4 linked regions of the Drosophila melanogaster genome follow. The protein of the gene in region 3 interacts with the protein of the main gene of each other region in a pairwise test. Each region holds a gene or a part of one and is shown on either strand. Other genes may lie near its edges.

What was found.
Region 1: the proteins of CG34238 (region 3) and CG33169 interact in a two-hybrid assay, tested with the Drosophila melanogaster proteins (one large-scale study listed by BioGRID).
Region 2: the proteins of CG34238 (region 3) and CG40198 interact in a two-hybrid assay, tested with the Drosophila melanogaster proteins (one large-scale study listed by BioGRID).
Region 4: the proteins of CG34238 (region 3) and CG15012 interact in a two-hybrid assay, tested with the Drosophila melanogaster proteins (one large-scale study listed by BioGRID).

What each region holds. Positions count from the first base shown.
Region 1 is NT_037436.4:22,861,453-22,865,433, reverse strand, and holds CG33169 (uncharacterized protein), read right to left. Parts: upstream 1,571-3,981; 5' UTR 1,452-1,570; coding exon 1,275-1,451; 3' UTR 938-1,274; downstream 1-937.
Region 2 is NT_033777.3:4,159,601-4,164,887, reverse strand, and holds CG40198 (uncharacterized protein), read left to right. Parts: upstream 1-2,652; 5' UTR 2,653-2,680; coding exon 2,681-2,780; intron 2,781-2,839; coding exon 2,840-3,294; 3' UTR 3,295-4,278; downstream 4,279-5,287.
Region 3 is NT_037436.4:10,624,321-10,628,698, forward strand, and holds CG34238 (uncharacterized protein), read left to right. Parts: upstream 1-2,178; 5' UTR 2,179-2,247; coding exon 2,248-2,358; intron 2,359-2,425; coding exon 2,426-2,509; intron 2,510-2,574; coding exon 2,575-2,722; intron 2,723-2,777; coding exon 2,778-3,055; 3' UTR 3,056-3,119; downstream 3,120-4,378. Other genes in the region: CG43127 (uncharacterized protein), read right to left, coding at 486-619, 681-831, 897-1,015, 1,075-1,243; CG14151 (uncharacterized protein), read right to left, coding at 3,421-3,665, 3,728-3,959, 4,020-4,133.
Region 4 is NT_037436.4:4,289,993-4,294,340, reverse strand, and holds CG15012 (uncharacterized protein), read left to right. Parts: upstream 1-2,094; 5' UTR 2,095-2,187; coding exon 2,188-2,271; intron 2,272-2,331; coding exon 2,332-2,466; intron 2,467-2,524; coding exon 2,525-2,654; intron 2,655-2,717; coding exon 2,718-2,827; 3' UTR 2,828-3,133; downstream 3,134-4,348. Other genes in the region: Fdx2 (ferredoxin 2), read right to left, coding at 1,171-1,510, 1,599-1,717; Hexo1 (hexosaminidase 1), read right to left, coding at 3,162-3,228, 3,291-4,348.

The sequences.
Region 1 (3,981 bases), about 12 Mb from region 3:
TCCAACGACTAGGTGATTATTTTATTTTTGTGGATATTTGAATTTGTGAGGCCTTATATAACGTTGAACCAAAAGTCACTTATGTATGTATTCAAACAGCGCACACTGGGAAGTAAACTCAAATTGAACCAATTTTGGAATCTATTTAACTGGTGTTTTGGCGCACTTTCTACCGTTTTACCAATCCACTCTTGTTTTATCCGAGCAAGAATATTTTGAATTTTGCTTAAACTTTTAATACTATTTTTTTATTTGTTGAAGTTAGATATTGGGAAGGTATTTTCAAATGTATTACATTTTGTCATTTATATTAATCATTAATATTTAATCAAATAATTGGTTTTGATTTTGAACCCCTAGACAACACATTTCACCACTGTGCAGGGGCGCGTCATCGCCGCGAAAAGCAACACAACCACAAAAACCACAGAAAAGTTGTATCTCGTATCTGATATGATTTCAGGTGTGAATCATAAACTTAAAAACATCAGGAAACCGGAAAACTTACCAGAAACTTGAGCATAGTGGAATAGTTAAAGGAGCCTTTGTCACCCGCAGCCGCCAGCGTGAGAGTCTTAGCAAAAGTGAGAGAATGTGAAAAAGAAACGTCAAACGACGCTGCTTCGGCGCTTCGTCTGCAGCTGCTCGGAATCTGAAAACAGCTGACTGGCCCACTGCGATTTGTGTTTGTATGGTTAGGTAATCGTATTTGGCTGACTCTGATAACTATGGAGTTAAGTTACTGCCTTTCGAGCACTGAACTTTTACTTCAATTTATGTACATGCATATGCATATGTATTAACAATTATTAGTTTGCGGTCACCGACGACGAGCTCCTCGGTGGACGGGCGTAAGTGAAACTGAAACAAGGGCAATCGCAATTAAAAACTGAACGCAAAACGGCCAAAAATAAAACATGTTGGTGGATGCCGCCTTCTCTAATATACATATGCACATATTTACATATTGAAGTGCCTCTGCTACGGTTTTTACCGTTTCCTAGTGCCCTTTTTTAATCAACCGCCAAAGCGCTAGACGGTTTTCAACACTACCACCAACGACCGTAATTCGGATACATTTTGTCCCCAAATCTCAAATTCCCAGGAACTGCACTTGAACAGCAGGGTGTTGTTCGTGTCATGGAAAATCCACTTTATGTAAAACATGCTTTTTGGATGGACGAACTGTGATTTAATTGTACTATTAAGGCTATATGTCTTTACAACGATTCAATTGCACTGACCACGACTATAAACTACATTTTATGACTACATTAGGCCAAGACCGCGGGGCGGGTCTTCAAGTAGACGAACAGCACCAGAAAGACCGCCAAAACGCCGAGCGCCGGCAGCACCACGGTGCGGATCTTCGCCTGGGTCTCCAGGTTGTCCAGCTTGCGCTCCTTCTTCTGTTTGCGCGTCTCCTTCACCTTTCCCTTCAGCTGGCGCATCTTTATCACTGATAGTTTTTGCGATAGTTCCTTTAATCTGGTGACGTGTAACACTCGTCGGAATGTGTGTGCGTGGAGCAACAAAACAGAGAGCTGGCCTTCTTTCGTTCAACAAGTTGTTTCTGGGCCAAAGAAGAAGAAGAAACGTTCGACTGGGCTGGCTAAAAGCAGGCAGCTTTTGACTGTCGACAGTGCTGCTTATTTCATGCAGTTTCTGGTCGGGTTACTCTGATGACACGTCCGGCCGACTAGTGTTGAACAATGTCTCTGGGACGGAAGCGCGCGTTTAAAAAAGTCTTTATAATTAAATAACGCATTTCATAAGTTAGAAAGCCATCAATTAACCTGGGGCTGTATTTGCCTCCATCTGAACATAAAAATGTCGTAGCAAGTTGTACAAAATTCACTTGCCAGTCAATAGTGAATACTTTATTTACCCAAACAAAATATAAAATAAATATAGTTTAAAAGAAAATAAAGCCGACTGAATAAATTTTTGACTGCAGGCGAAAGTCAAAAACGTATATGCATATATGTGAGTATAGACGTTGTCCAAAGATAACGAAACAACGATACATTACAATAAATATTACAAAATTCTTGCAACGAATAAAATCTCACTCGAATTTAGTCAGATTAAAAGTAAATCGTAGTCAAAATATTTGAATGTTTTTCTATCTGCTTCAGAGGTATTTTTTTATACCAAGCATCGAAAATTCGAAAGAGTACCTTTTACTAGTAATTGAAAGTTTTCTATTATTCAAAAATGATATTTATACATTATTATAGCTATTGGTTTTGGGTTGGTTTTTGTCAATGCTGCACAGCTTCTGTTCTTCCTCAGGCGGTACTAAACGGAGGCGGAGAGAACCGCGTTTCAATTTTGCTTTGTATTGACCGCTGGCATGGCGCTGCGGAAGAATCTAACCCATATTTTTCTTTAACTGGCCTGCCGCCCCTTTAAGCCCTTTAACTGCACCCGAGGCCGTCGAAACAAGATACGCCAGCAACTGTTGCACCTTCACCTCTGAATGCGATTTCGAAAATGTTTGAGCAGTTCGCAATACTCCCAGGGGTCGGGTCTATGCCACGCAGTCACTGCTTGGGCTTCTGCCGCGAGTGCTGGACACTATGGATATTGTGGACACCGGACGTGCTGGATAAGCTGGCCGCTGCACACTTGATGAAGCAATAACAATGCAGACCGCTGGCCGGCAACCGTGGCCGAGTGGCCAATCAGTCGGGACGCACTGCCAAGTTTGTGCATTGGTAATGAAGCCTGGCGAGCCAACGCACATTTCGGCATCTAATTTTGCCCATTACCATAAACGGCAACCCGATCAGTTTGGACACGGATTATTGGCAACTATTTAGCCGGCCCCTAAAGGCCTAGACCTGCCAGCCCGGGCGAGTCCTCACGTTACATACAGATTGGCCTCAATGCGCACGCGGCTGTCCGAAAGTCGTGTTCCCGTCCAGGTCCAATCTTAGTTTCCTGGTTCTGGCCAGCGCTTACACGACCATCATACACGGCCTGTTCGTTAGCTCGCTGGCCAGCTATGTGTGATGGCCAGTCCGCTGATTGGCCAGGCCGCCGTCCGTCAGCCCGGTCCACCTGTCCGTCCTTGGGGCCGGGAGACCAACTCTTAGCTAAACCCCTTGTTTTGATTGCCAACTCGTAAAATGATGGATTACCGAGTTGGGATTTATTTCTTGTTACGGTCATAATAGATTATCGTTGCTCACTCATTGTCAGAGCTGCCCCCCCCCCCCCCCCCGAGCCACCTCTATCTAAACGGCAAGCAGCCAGAATTGCTGTCTTCGGAGGATTTGGCGTTTTGATGGAGCATGGCTTCGTCGAATGGCCTCCGATCGCACTATTCGAATGATCAAACGAACAATTAAACGCAAGTACCACAGGCAACTTAGAAGTAATTTTAGTGGTAGCACTTCTTAATTTACAAACAAGCTAGGATCGAAGTTAAAATGTAATACGCAATGCACTTCTAACCATCTGGCCTATGTTCAGGATACGAGTAGGATTTGTTAACAAATAGCCGAGGGTTGTCATGCTACGCAAATAACAAATGTACTCATTCTAAGCCACTCATATGTTGAAAGTTTTCTTCAATAAACCACAATATATTTGATGTGAATTTCGAACTAGACATTGATCATTGATCATTTATTTCTCGAATTTGCCAACACTAGGTAATCACTAATCACTGTGTAATTCTTGTATTTTGAACACCAAAATATAAGTAACGAAATGGGAAAAACATCAATAAGGGGCATTCAGATTCTTTCGTAAGCAGTTAGCTATTTTATTTGGGCCCAAATGGAGTTTTTTAGAGCGAATAACAAAAACTAGATCGAAAACATTCTTGATCAGGATGGTAAATTATGTTATACAACAGAAACACATATCAACGGGAGATAAGATAAATGTACCAATTAAAGAAAAATTGAAACACTTGTATTGTATATTGTATATTGTATATTGTATATTTATTGTTATTACTCTGAAACA
Region 2 (5,287 bases), on a different chromosome or scaffold from region 3:
ACGCCTCCTCCGGTCTACGGAAATCGTGCACATACATATGCCGGTGTCGTGTTTTGAGCTTGTCTACATATTGTCACTTACGCACGTGTGGGGTGGTATAGTCAAGAAAATTTGTTTTAAACAAGAAAGTCGGCAGCTAAGTATCATCATGAGTAGCAAAAAATATTTCATTACAGCAATATTTGCTTTGCTCTTTTGTGCATATACATAAATAAGTTAAAAGTCTATTATCAGGAACCAACCCCGTTACACATCGTGGCGTGCCGAAATTTTTTTTTTTTGCAAATCGATAGAAATTTTTTAATACCACACAATTTACAATTGTGAAAAAATCAACACGATTTTCAAAGGTGTGAGCGTGGCAGAGCTGCGTCTTTTTTTTTATTTTTAAAATCTGTATGCTGAATCTCAACCTTCTAGCTTTTATAGTTTCTGAGATCTCGACGTTGATACGGACAGACGGTCATGGGCAGATCGACTCGAGTATTGATTCTGATCAAGAATATATACACTTTATATAGTCGATAACGCTTCATTCTGCCTGTTACATACATTTCAACGAATTTAGTATAAAAAAAGACACTATGGGCTGAATCAAAGACATTAGAATAATTATTCTAGTGTCTTTTGCTGAATGGTACTGAAAGGATAAAGATATTTAGTTTGTGTTTTTATATTGGGTATCTTATATAATACCAAAAATTATATATTTTTATAGGTTTTTTTTGGTAACTCCTAAACGGAGAAAGGCTGTTTTTGTGCATTGACTTACACTTGACCAAAGACACTAGAATAAACTAGAATTCTAGTGTCTTTGACTTGACTATATCTTTAAGAACCCAGAAATTGTGTGCGTGGCCCTTTACATTTAATGAACAAATTTTCGTATAGGGGTTTCTTTAATTTCGTATGCTTTTTCTAGGCCAAGCAAAAAACAACTGAATTCATGATAGTAATTGCATATTAAGTTATTTTACTATTTATTTTATTTTTTATTTATTTTTTAATGATAACCATAAAAATAATAAAAATTAATGAAACAAATCAGCTAGAGCTATGTTTAACTCGCTTTTAGCTGAAATTAATCTTCTTTTGTCTGCCATTTGGATCCTAAAGTGCGAAAAAGTGAACTTTAAGAATGAACATTCGAATGAAGAAGGATTACATTATCTACAACGTAGTATAGGTATTATGTTGAAACTAGGTAAAACTCATGTTTAAATCTCAAGTTAAAAATAAATTGGTTTAGCTCATACACCTAACAGCGCTACGGGACTTTTTTGAAATACGCAACACTAAAAACTAATCCTATACTAACATAATGATGTAATCAAAACATAGGTAAAACGAGACACTTGATTAAAGTGTAGACAGTAACTATATATGACCGGAATTAAAAATAAAAATAATTGATTGAAATAAAGCATATTTTTATGAGATAAAATAACGGAAGCACGAACATTTCCTTAAACTTATAGGCCCATATATTGGGACGAATAAAAGTAAAACCAAAATTATTCTACACGTAAGTACTTTACCGGAACTGGCAACACACAGCAGTTAGCAAAGATATTTTGGAATTTTTTTTAATCCACTTTTAGTTCAAAAACTTTCTTTTCAAGCCTGTGGATCGATGTTTAAGAAAATTGATTACCAATATGCCTCCATGTTGGTCATGATAGGCTAAGAGAAATTAAAAGGTAAGCATACAGATTCCAAAAACATATAAGCAGCAGAAGTTTGCTGACCCACCTACTCTAACGAAGAATATAATGAGAAAAAAATGGGCGGTTTGTGGGTGTTAGAGTGTGCGTGGTAAAAAGTTTTTTTTAGCAAGTCGTTAGAAATTTGGAAGACTAATATGAAATATGAAAAAATATAAAAATATTTTTCAAATGTGTGGGCGTGACAGTTCTGGTCGGTTTACGGGAGTGGCAATATGGGTCAACAAACTTGTGATACGTCTATGTTATTAGAATCAGTATTCTTATTCTTAACATTATAGCTTTTAATGTTCCTGAGATCTCGAGGTGGATACGGACGGAGGAACAGACAGACGGACAGGGCCAGATCAGAAATATATAGACTTTATATGGTCTACATCTATTACATACTTTCAATGAATATAATAAATTTGTTTTCGTTTTGTTGTTTGCTTGCCAATTTCTATGGGAATACACTTTGGTCACGACCCTCCTTACACCTACAAAACGGTCAAAACGGCTACGCACTCACTTTTTAAAACAATATCGATTGATATCCCTGAAAAATGATGAAATTTCGGGTTCGCATTTCGACTAGCTGAGTAACTGAAATGAAAAAATAACATGAAAACATGAACAAAATTGAAAATTTAGTTTTATGATTTACGTTCGTTTTAAAACCAAATATATCTGTTTGATTGTTGTTTAGATAAAAAGCTAAACGCATTAGTAATAATTTATAGCTCCTCGTTTACTTATCTAATACTCACCAAGTTATAACAGCGGTGGCTTCATCTAGGGGCACAAGTGTGTATGCTAACCACTTGAGGTCTAGCATCAAGCAAAGTGCTTGTCGTACAACCCTCTTTCAGCTTGAGCCATCAAAAGGCAACAATAACAACGGAGACTTTTTCGAAGAACGCTATAAAAGCGAACGCGGGCTATCCACTTCTAGTCATAAAGTAGTCGCCAACAGCATGTTGAAAACTATATCGATTGGTGTTCTTATCGCCCTCAGTGGGGCCATCATTGCAGAAGGAAAACCTGTCCTTATTAAGGTTTTCGCTCCCAGCGGTGGTATATTATTTGCTGTTTGGGGTAAATTACAAACTTTAGTGTTACTTCTTTCTCCACAGGCTACTCCAGTGCCAGTTACCAAAATACAGTGGGAGCATCGCCTTTCACCAGTCAGCTTATCTCTGGTCTTATCTCATCAAAAATTCAACTGTTGAACAGCGTGCTACAGACCAAGTCTTCTTCCGGGGGGTTCCGTATTGGTTTCAATAAGTCTGTCAATTTATTTGGCCCCACAAGCGCCACGAGCACCACCGAAAGGCCTGTGACACACCATACCACCGAGGTAAACACAGACTTTACTCCGGATGAATCTAGTAGGACTACTCAACTTTTTTACTCGACAACAACAGAAAGTTTTGTCGAAACGCCGATCCCCACAATACATCCCGAGCCACCAGCCACTACCACTTCAGTGATCCCAATAGAGAGCACCACATCCGTAACACAACCACCCATCTTGACGACACCAAAACCTGGATACTCCTATCGCACCCCCATTTCCCCCACCAATTAGTTCGGTGAAAATCTATTTTTTGTCAACTCAAATAACGCAGCCCCAGCAATGTTCGCAAATGAGTAAATTTCTATAATTAAGTGACTAATTTGCGATGAATTGGGAGAACTGTTTCTTAAGTTAATCCAGGTATAGATAAAGCGGAAGCTATTCAAGGCTTGTCGCACATTGTTCATTTTCACATCAAAGAGCTCTGTGCGATTGTTGTCTGACAAGTCATGGGGATTATTAGCATAGAAACTGGTTTTTAGAGAATTATGTGGGCTACAAGGGAAGTGTTAAATGTTTCATTAACCACTTTTCAAGTTTTACAGGCAGATTCTAGCGCCCGTTCCAAGTCGCATCTGCAAATGACTTGGTTCAAGGCAAACGAATTTCTTTGTCTGGGGCATAACAATCAATTCCGCAGATCTGTATGTTATTAAATATTTTACAGTGTTTGGCAAGTTAGTATCTATCATCGAATTACTTATTTACATTTCAACTAATATATAAATGGTTTAAATTTAATATATCAGCAGTATATCTGCTATTAATTATAAAGAAGAGAGAATGTTATAGTAGTGTGAATGCGAGGGGAAATATCATAATTTTTCTGGGATATGGGTGGATATTGGGGAATGAAAAGAAAAAAAAGGTTAATTGGGCGTGGCCGGTTCGGCGGCTTTAGGGCGTTTATATGGGCGTGGCAAAAAGATTCTTGCAAATCGATTAAAATTTACAGGACTAAAAAAATTATGAAAAAATATTAAGCAATTTTTCAAAAGTGTGGACGTGACCCTTTTGGATGTTTTTTAGGTGAAAGGCGTGGCCAGTGTTTTTGGTAAACAGATAAAAATTGTCAAGGCAAATAATAAAACGAAGAAAATCTAAACATTTTTCAAAAGTGTGGGCGTGACAACTTTCTGCGCCTTTGGGGCGTTAGAGTGGTCGTGGCAATCAGTTATGTAGAAATTTACAGGACTAATAAAATTATGAAAAAATACCCATAATCTTTTCAAAAAAGTGATCGTGGCAGTTTTGTTCGGCTTGTGGGCGTTAGAGTGGGCGTGGCAACAATGCTCTGCGTCTATGTCTCTAGAACCTGTATGAATCTCAACCTTCTAGCATTTATAGTTCCTCATATCTCGACGTTCATACGGACAAACAGACAGGGCTAGATCGACTCGCTTTTGATCCTGATCAGAAAACTCTTGTTTTTGCCTGTTTCATAATTTTCAAGGAATCTAGTATACCCTTTTACTCTACGAGTATGAAAAAGAGAATGAAAAGAGAAATGAACAACAAAACGCGAAAAACAAGGACTGTTTAATTTTAAAGAAAATCACATAAATCTCTTTAAAGCTAAATATATTTATTTATCATCCCGGCTTCGCTTTCAAATATAATTCTGGTACACTGGCTGAACACAACAGACAAAATATTGAACAAAAGCAAGAATAACGTTACAGTCATAATAACGGTATTGCAATTAAAAATACCCACTCAAAATCTTTAGAAAAGTAACGAAAAATCTCCCTTTTAATATTTAACATTTTACCCAATAACTCGAAGAGGATGAAGTTGGAATATTTAGTTCAAAACTTCTAAAGCACAACAACCTTGGTATAAAACCGCTACTAACGAAATATTTCTAATGTCTCACATTTCTACAACCATTTATAATTAAAAACGAAACAACAACTTGTACTTCCCAGAATAGTCGGAAACCATTTTATATTTAATACATTAAATCTTATATACTCATAACGTGGAATATAACTGAAGAAAAATTTAATACAAATTGTGAAAATCAAGACATTTTAATTGACAATAACAAAATTATAAAAGTATTCAGTTGTACGTACAGCAAAGTTAAAAGACATTTCAAAATGAAATAATATTTAACAATACCTAATATTTGCCAAGCGCAATATAACAAAAGCTTAAGTAAAAGAAATGATTAAGTTAACATATGCAAACATAATAATTTCATATTTTATTTTTATACGAA
Region 3 (4,378 bases):
TTTTCACTTTGGCATCGCGTTGCAAGTGACAAGTTGACAATCCACGCACTTTGTTCCAAAGCCCGGACAAATGGAATTAGATGCCGAATTAGGACTAAAACAGCTTGAATTTGATTTCAATACGAGCAGCTGAGATCTGGAAAACTTAAAGCGGCGTAGGAGGAACGAGAGCAGACAAGACCGGAAGCGCAGAGCATGAAACGGAAATGAATCAATTTCCGTGCTGCAGACCATTAAAAACTACAAAAGCCCTCGAAAGAAGCAGATGAAGTACAGGAAAACGAGAAACAAGAGTCGGCACAACAGATACAAAATATGGTTTTCTGTCTGGCGCCGTATGAACGATGACCTATGACCCGGTCAAGACGCATCTGTTGTATAGAAAACTGTAATTAAATCATGTCAATATGGAGATATTAATATAGACGTAATATTTTTGAAACTTTTAAATGAAATTTATGAATATAACACAAACATATTTGAATTTATCTCTTCTGATCTGAAATCATCATAAAATGATATCTAGATTTTTCTGCCACTTTGGTCTCTTCATTTTTCGTGGCATTGGACAAGTTCAAGAAGATGGTGTAGATAACATAGATGAAGCCAAACTCAATTGCTATCAAATAAAAGCCACAAAGATAATAAAGTTAGTAACTAATTTAAGGCAGAAAACGTACCCATGGTCAGCAGGGAGATCAAAATGTTGGTCAGTGCCTCAATAGCGTCGCCCACAAAAAGTTCGTAGACCCACCACAAAATGAGGAAGACATCGAAGACCAAACCACAGGCGCACCATATCAACCATAATGTCATAAGCTCCGGTTTTTGCTGAAAATACGAAGAGAATGAATGGAACGGAGTTGATGAGACTCAACGGGATACTTTTCACCCACAAATGAGATGCCAGCTATCATGAGCAGAGTGACCCCAATCCAAATATTCAGCATCAACAGGTAGCCCCAGAATATCCAAATGTTTTCGCTTTCACTCAGCTTTTTCCTTGTCAAGAGATCTCGAGTACATAAATTGGTTAGAACACTGCATTTGAGTACCTTTATTGAGTGCACTTACTGGGCAATGAATCTCTATGGCACTTCTCTTGTGCTTCAATCGATGCAACTTCTGATTTTTGTGCCAATCGACGACGTCGCATCATATAGAACATTATCATTTCGAAGAACAAAACTCCCGCAATGTCCATCCAGCCGATGGCCATTCCAAAAGCATTCAAAGCATTCATCACCTTCAACTTTTTCTTGTCCAATCACTATGGTTTTAGTTGATACTTAATGGTTTTTAAAAACATTTTATATGACAAATTTAGCAGTGTACCGAAAAATAAATAGGGTCTGAAATAAGATTGCTCAATAGGAAATGCGAACAAACTGGAGTTAAAGAAATACAAATAAAAATCTTAAGCTTGATAGATTTCATTTATTTAAGAACCTTTTTTTTACAATTTTCAAGCTTAAGTTTGATAAATACATTTGTTAAAGTGCCATAATTTATTTTAAAGAAACTGAGCCTCCATTACGGTTCCATCTCTACTCAAGTTTCCTGTTGCTTCTGTTGGAAAAACTTGAACTGGAAGTGAGATGTTTAAAAAGGCTTTGTCGCACCCCGGGGATCAAAATGTGCTCCCACTTTTTCGCCCAAGTTGCAAATGAGCGCGAAAAAAGTAAAATTATATTTGTCAACGGGGATTCCCCTCGTTCTTACTCACACTCACTACCACACACACGCTCACTCACACACAGGGTAAGAGCAGTGGCTATGTGTGTGTGTGTGTTTGCGTGAGCCGACGCCGCACGTATTTCATCAGCGTGGCATTATATGCATGGGTATATGCTTATATACTTACGTACACTATACGGTGGTATGTCTCATTTTTTCCCTGCATAAATAGATGCGACAACCATAGCAGCGGAACTTGGCTGTCATTTCCGTTTCCGTTTTGATACCGTGTGTGGAGTGTGATCGAACAACGTAGTAATTTGTTTAGCTGAGCTAAAAAAACATATTAAAATATACCCTAAATATGAAGAAAGATTTTAAGTAATTGTTAAATATGCTCTATCTATACATTTCAAAATTAATTATTTATAAATGTACTAGCAAATTTGAAGAAAACGGCTTAAAAATATACTTGTATTATCTATTTACACAATCATTAGTTATACACTCATTGAACTGATCATATGTTCCTATCTTCAACTGCCACAAATAATGTTTTCATTTTTCGATATGATCTCCAGCAAGAAATCGCTGTTGATATGGGCCTATGCTATAGGATGCTTTGATCTGATCAGCGCATTGCTTTTTTCCATGGTCAGTTTGAAGACAATTTGCGAACACGTAAGGCTACCCTTTAAATCTTTATATACAGTAGAAAATCTTCAGAAATCTTCTCACATTTTTCCAGCTAAGTTGGCTAACAATTTTTGCCGCTATTTTTGGCCTCTTTTGGATAACAATGATTGTGATGCTGCTGGTTGGCATTCATGGGGTATATTCGTATTTAAAAAGGTGGCTCACGGTGACAGTGTAATGGTATCCTTCGCTTAATTACAGCGCCATCCTAGTTGTGTTCGTGCCTGGATTATCTTCTCCTGCGTGGGAATCATGGTCGAGATGTGCCTGGTGTTGTATGCCGTTTTCAACGAGAGCTCCTTCCAAATGGGTCTGGTCAAAAATGGACTATTACTCATGGTGGGATTGAGTGAGTGCAATATTAGAAGTATCACCTTAAAATTAACTTTATATTTTTCTATCAGTTGTGGAGTGCATTTTTCTATACATCGTTCAACGGTTCTACGTGACTTTGGCCTTTTGCCAAGCCTGTCATAAGGCTATAGCCACAAAAATAGCACAACAGGAAGCTTGTATGGATTATGAAAGAGAACACAGTCACCAAAGGCATCATTTTAATTATGGCGAAACCAAAAGACCTATTCAAAACCAAAATAGCAGGGGAAAAATAGTTAAAAACTCTCCGTCACAACCAATGAAGATGGGTTTTTTCAGACCTTCAGACAGCAGCTCAACAACGTAAAATGAAGGGTTATATATATTTATTTTATAGCTAAAATATTAAAAGACAAGTTTGTAAAAATATTAAAAATATATTATTTATCTACAGGGCATGCAACTCTTCGAATTCGTTTAGCTGCATTTGTATCTCTAGATTTTTTCTTTACTCACTGCTGAGCAAATTATTTTAAAAGGATTTTGTGTTTAACATTGGCGTTCTTGTGTGTGTGTGTGTGAGTGGCTTGTGTAGGTGTGAGTGGTCCGCATCCTGCGTGTGATAAAAGTTAAAGAGCTTGTCTCAGACAAAAAGAAAAGTTCAAATCAATGCATTCAATTTCATGTTTATTTTAAAAATATAAAAATCAATACTTTAAACACTTAATACCTTCACTTTCGCATTTGTTTCTGAAGTTTTTTGAGAACGGCTTTATCTTTTTTCATACGCTCCTTGGCTTGTTTTTCCATCCGTTTCAGATCCTTGCGATCCAGTGGCTTTTCCTCTTCCTCAGCGTATTTCACATCACAGCCACTCCTTTCTCTATACTTCTCATCGGGAGGCGTTTCTGTTGCACTGTAATCAATCATATCCAGATAAAGTAGGTATATGATATAGACAAAAGTCATTTCCACGGCTAAAAGGAAATTCAATTATATATTCAGTAAATTAAATACGCTAATTATTATTTAGACCTACCCAGTCCTACGAAGGGCAGCACTGTGATTTTGACACCTTCCCAGTTCACAGATATGGCCAAGGTCAGGCCGTAGAGCAGTATAAATCCATCTAGAAGTATTCCCAAGCAGGTGAACACCAACCAGAATCGTACCAGTCCCAGTTTTCGCCTATAGATACCCGCCATCAAAACTATGATTATAACCATCCAGAAAATGGTGAAGATCAGTGCAACCAAGGCGGTCCAATGACCCTGCAAATACCAAAATTGAGCCACAATTTCCCTGAAAGGACTGTGGCCTAATTGTCTTACATGCCTGGCAAATACCACTCCTGAGATAATTGCGAATAGCAGGGCGGATATGAAGTCCAGCAAGGCGATGCAATAGGCACAGGGCACTAAATATCCATCAGAATTTGACCCCATCGCCCAGGCTAAGATTCATCACATCACTGGCAATGTTGTCTACTAAATCAAAGCTATAATGATGATAAGCACGTACTTGGCGATTGGAGAAGGGGGTTACTCGGGTCTTGGCGGCCTGTTAATCAAAGCCGTTTGATTGCCAACATTCATGGACACAGCACAGTGGTATTCAAGCGTGGGAATGTAGGGAGACTCAGTGGCCAAAAGTACAATACACTACAGAAGTTTTCAATATATGCCAAGTT
Region 4 (4,348 bases), 6.3 Mb from region 3:
TCCGCCACTTTCAAATGGTTTCCTACTTTACCACTACGCTCTATCCTTCATATGTTTCCCTAGTTTTAGGCAAAGCGAAATTGAATTGTCAGACTTGTTAAGTTTCAGTTATACCTACGCGGGATTTGAGGCCATCTGAACGAACAGATTAGCCTCGAATGTTACAATATGCAAGTTAATAATATCGAGAAAATAAACACAAACGAAGTAATGAAGCGGCAAACATGGAAAGGCAGAAAATCGTTTACAATAAGTTAATATAGCAAATGTATATATTAAATTATTTATTTATTACTTTATTTGATAGCTGCGAAATAATAAAAAGTTTACTTTTATTAAGCGACAAGTGTTTTAATGCGTTCTAATAGTACCTCTGATTATCGGAGCTTGGGAACGACTGATAAGGAAACGCAAACAAAGCTAATGCAAACTTTATCAGTGTGATGAAATGTTTGTGTGGGGGGCTTTGATAACAGCCCTTGTGTTGGCCGTGACTGGAAGTTTTGGTATAAACAAAACAAGTTTGGCAAAACGAATGAATAGAATAAAGAATAATATGGTTCGCATTGTCATACAAGCGAGGCAAATAGGAATATAAAATACGATCATCTTGAATTTGCTAACTAATGATCATAAACCTGTGTTCAAAAGTATACTACACACTTTTATTAGAACTATGATGCCGAGGAAAATCTTTGCGTGTGCCTGTTTATTTGCCGAGCACAACTTCGAGATCATGAATACACGCAGAAAAACACTTTTTAGCTGAGATATTTAAAAAACAAGAATGACCGATTTAAAATCGGCTAGTTTTGCCAATAGAATTAAAAAGGCAAATGAATTATTGGTTAAAAATGATATCTACGCTGGATGCTTTCCTCCACAGTTTCAATAAAACCAAGAGAAGTACGAAAATACATGTAAATTTATTGCAACACACTTATTTACATATTGATCTAATCCCTTTGAGCTTAAACACTTTAAAAACAACAGCGGACGCTAATCCGCAACTGGAATCGGATTAATGCGCGCATCCATTATAGCCGCCTGAGGTTTGTGTCCCTGGGACAATACATACGATTTCGTTCAAAAATATTGACTACATCTAGGTTGAACTAAAGCGAATTAGCACTCAAATTTGTAACAATTGATAACAGTGGTGGTGTCTATCTACGCGGCACGTGCGTCATTGATGGTGGAGGGCACATGTACCTCCAGGCCCTCCATATCCTTGGACAGGGTGATCTGGCAGCCCAGCCGCGAGGTGTCCGTCAGTTCGTACGCCAAATCCAGCATGTCCAGCTCCTCATCACCGGGTTTGTCGGGCAGTTTCTCGAAATCGCTGGTCTTGAAGATCAGGTGGCAGGTGGAGCAGGTCAGCGTGCCCTCACAGGCCCCGAAACCATCCAGATCCACATTGTTGTTGACCACCACGTCCAGCAGGGAGTCACCCACTTTTCCGGACGTCTTAATCTTGTCCCCATTGGCACGCACGAAGGTTATGTTAACACTGCAATAGCGAGATTGGTCAATGTTTACGCTGCTCTGGCGGTGTGGAGCTACCATTGTAGTGCTCGTGGGGTGGAGAAGATACTCACACATCTTTCGTTTTCAGGGCCAATCCCGTCGAGAAAGTACGCGTTGCGATCGGCGATCGCAAATTGAGGCTGCGTAGCGCCAATCTGGAGGCAGCTCTGCATGAGTTTATGACTAGCATTCTGGTTAGGATTCCTTTGCAATCTCTTACTATAACTGACAACACGCACCCACTCGTGTCGCTGCGATCGGTTGTTAAATAATAAGGAAATCAATTAAATTTTGTTAAACGTGAAGTTGTGTGTGACCGTATTGGACTTTCTGAAAAAGACGTCGTGCCTTTAACGTACTAAAAAACAACAACAAACTGCATAAGCAGTAATTTTAAAGTTAAACATTTAAATGTTTGCACAAATTATTGCACAAAATATTTAATTAACAGCAACTTTCTTTTTATAACGGAGTTAATTTGTGTTACACAAAAAGTATATGTTACTGCTGCAGTTCAGGTGTGAACACACTAAATACTGAAACAGGGTTGCTACAGCGAGTGAAGAAACCCTGTATTCACCTGCAGACAGACAACCCTGTGCGTCAAAACAAGAAGATTTAAGAGTGGAATAAATTTAATTACGTTTTAAAACCTAAACAATGGGCGTGTTGGACAATATTGCGTTGCATTTCACGGGGGATGCGTCCAGGAACAGGAACACCTCCATAATAGCCGGACTTCTGGTAGGCTAACACCCGCAAACAAAGAGCCGCCCGCCTGACAGTGCAACTTTTTCTCCTTAGTTTTTCGCAGGATGGTGGGTTCTAATCGATGCCATGTCCATCGACGGCAAGCACCAGATTACCACAGGACACGTCTTCATCGGCATCTTCGGGACCATCAGCTTCTGCATGGTGAACGCAGTGAAGGGAGAACATGTAACACACACTTATCATTGGGCTTAACAAGTGACTCACTTCTTTTGTTTGTGCGCAGATTTCTGATGAGAACTCATCGGAGTCCGGCGCCAGGATAGCGAAGATCTGGCTGCTTGTGGGCTTCCTAATGGGTTTTGCCTCCATCATTGCCGCCATCTGGGTGATGATCGACGACTTCATCAACAATGGTGAGAAATAAACAGATATTTAAGGATTCCTTAGCTGAATTGCACCCACTTATCGTTTTTCAGAAAAGAAGGATGGCTGGTTTGGCGTGGCTCTGCTGATGCAAAACGTCTTCATCCTGTTCGCCAGTTTGGTCTACAAGTTTGGACGCAACGAGGAAGAGTGGAATGAGTAAAGCTTCCATTCAAATTATTGCACAAGGGAACGCAGCTTTTAGTATCTAGACTCATTACGTACATAATCAGGAGTCCAAGGAGTTTATGCTTGAGGCCGAGGACACCATCACTCGCAAATCCTCACCCCACACATTGAAGCGTAAAATGTCCAACTCTGCTACTGTTCATATTCGAAAAAATCGTCGAGTCTGTACGGATTTCCCTCACTATTTCCGACATTCTGCCGCTTTGAATCGGAAAAGGGCGCAGAGCAGGGCCAATAATCTCATTTATATTTAACAAAATAAACGACAAGTCACTTGCGTAAGGCCACCTTTGAGCTGTACTTTATTTTCAGGCAGAGAGCGTTGTGAGAAGCAACAGGACGATCAACCCAAGCCGCCCGCTGCCCCGACTACATCTACAAGGATAGCGACCGTTAAGAGAAATGGTTTAATAGCTGGTCAAACTTGTGCATCGTACGCGTCAATGGGACACTCGTGCTCGTTTTGCAGGCACCACTGCGGCTGCATGGCCTCTGCGCCCAGACCATTGTCCACCAGTCGCTGGCGGTGGAGCAGCAGACGTGACTCCGCCTGGCGCCAACCTTCGGCAGGATTTGACCAAAGTCGTTCGGCCAGGGCACTGGCCCTGGGCCAGAAGCGGTTGTCCAGTGTGTGCTCGTCGATCTGCTCTGACCAAATGGCTCCCTCCGCGCCCAATACATGATGCTCGTAGTCGCCGGCAATGGATTTCAAACTATTGTCGTACACCTTCTGCCAGCCAATGTAGGGGGAGCACCAGTTGTTTCCATCGGTCACCCAGCCAGCTCCGCCGCAATCCAAGTACAGGGCATCGTAGTTGGACACAATGATCTTGTAGCCCCGCTCCAGAATCTTCTTTACCTTCGGATCTACACCAGTGGTCCAGATCTGAATGATGTAACGCTCTGGGTTCAGATACTCGTCAATGAAGGGCTCCTCAGTGAGTCCACTAGTCCACAGAATGATGGGCGTGTGCGTACCATTGGCCACCTTGTCCACGCGACCAAGAGCCTCCGTCTGGAAGTGTCCCCACAAGCGCATAAAGTCGGCGGTCTCCAGGCCCCAACCCTGTTTCTTCATCCACTGCTGGATGGGCTGGCTGCTGTTCCAGCAGCTGGTTGACACTTCATCGCCGCCCATGTGGAAGATATCCGGGTTGAACTGATCGAACATGGTGCCGTAAATGTCCTCCAGCACATCGTACATTTCGTTCACAGTGGGATCGAGTTGGCCACACGGTGGCTCAACGCAGAACGACTTCCATGGCTGGGCATTGAAGCAGGCGGTCATGTTCTTGTGCTGCCAGCCCTCACCCACATGGGCAGGGGCATCGAACTCTGGCATAACACGGATGCCTCGCACGCGGCCGTACTCCACAACCTCGGCCACGTCCCGACGGGTGTACACCTGCCGTTGGGAATAGGCTCCCAGCTTGTGCAGCTCCGGACGCTTCTTCACCTCCAATGGGAAGCTGTGCGAGTCCGTGATGTGCCAGTG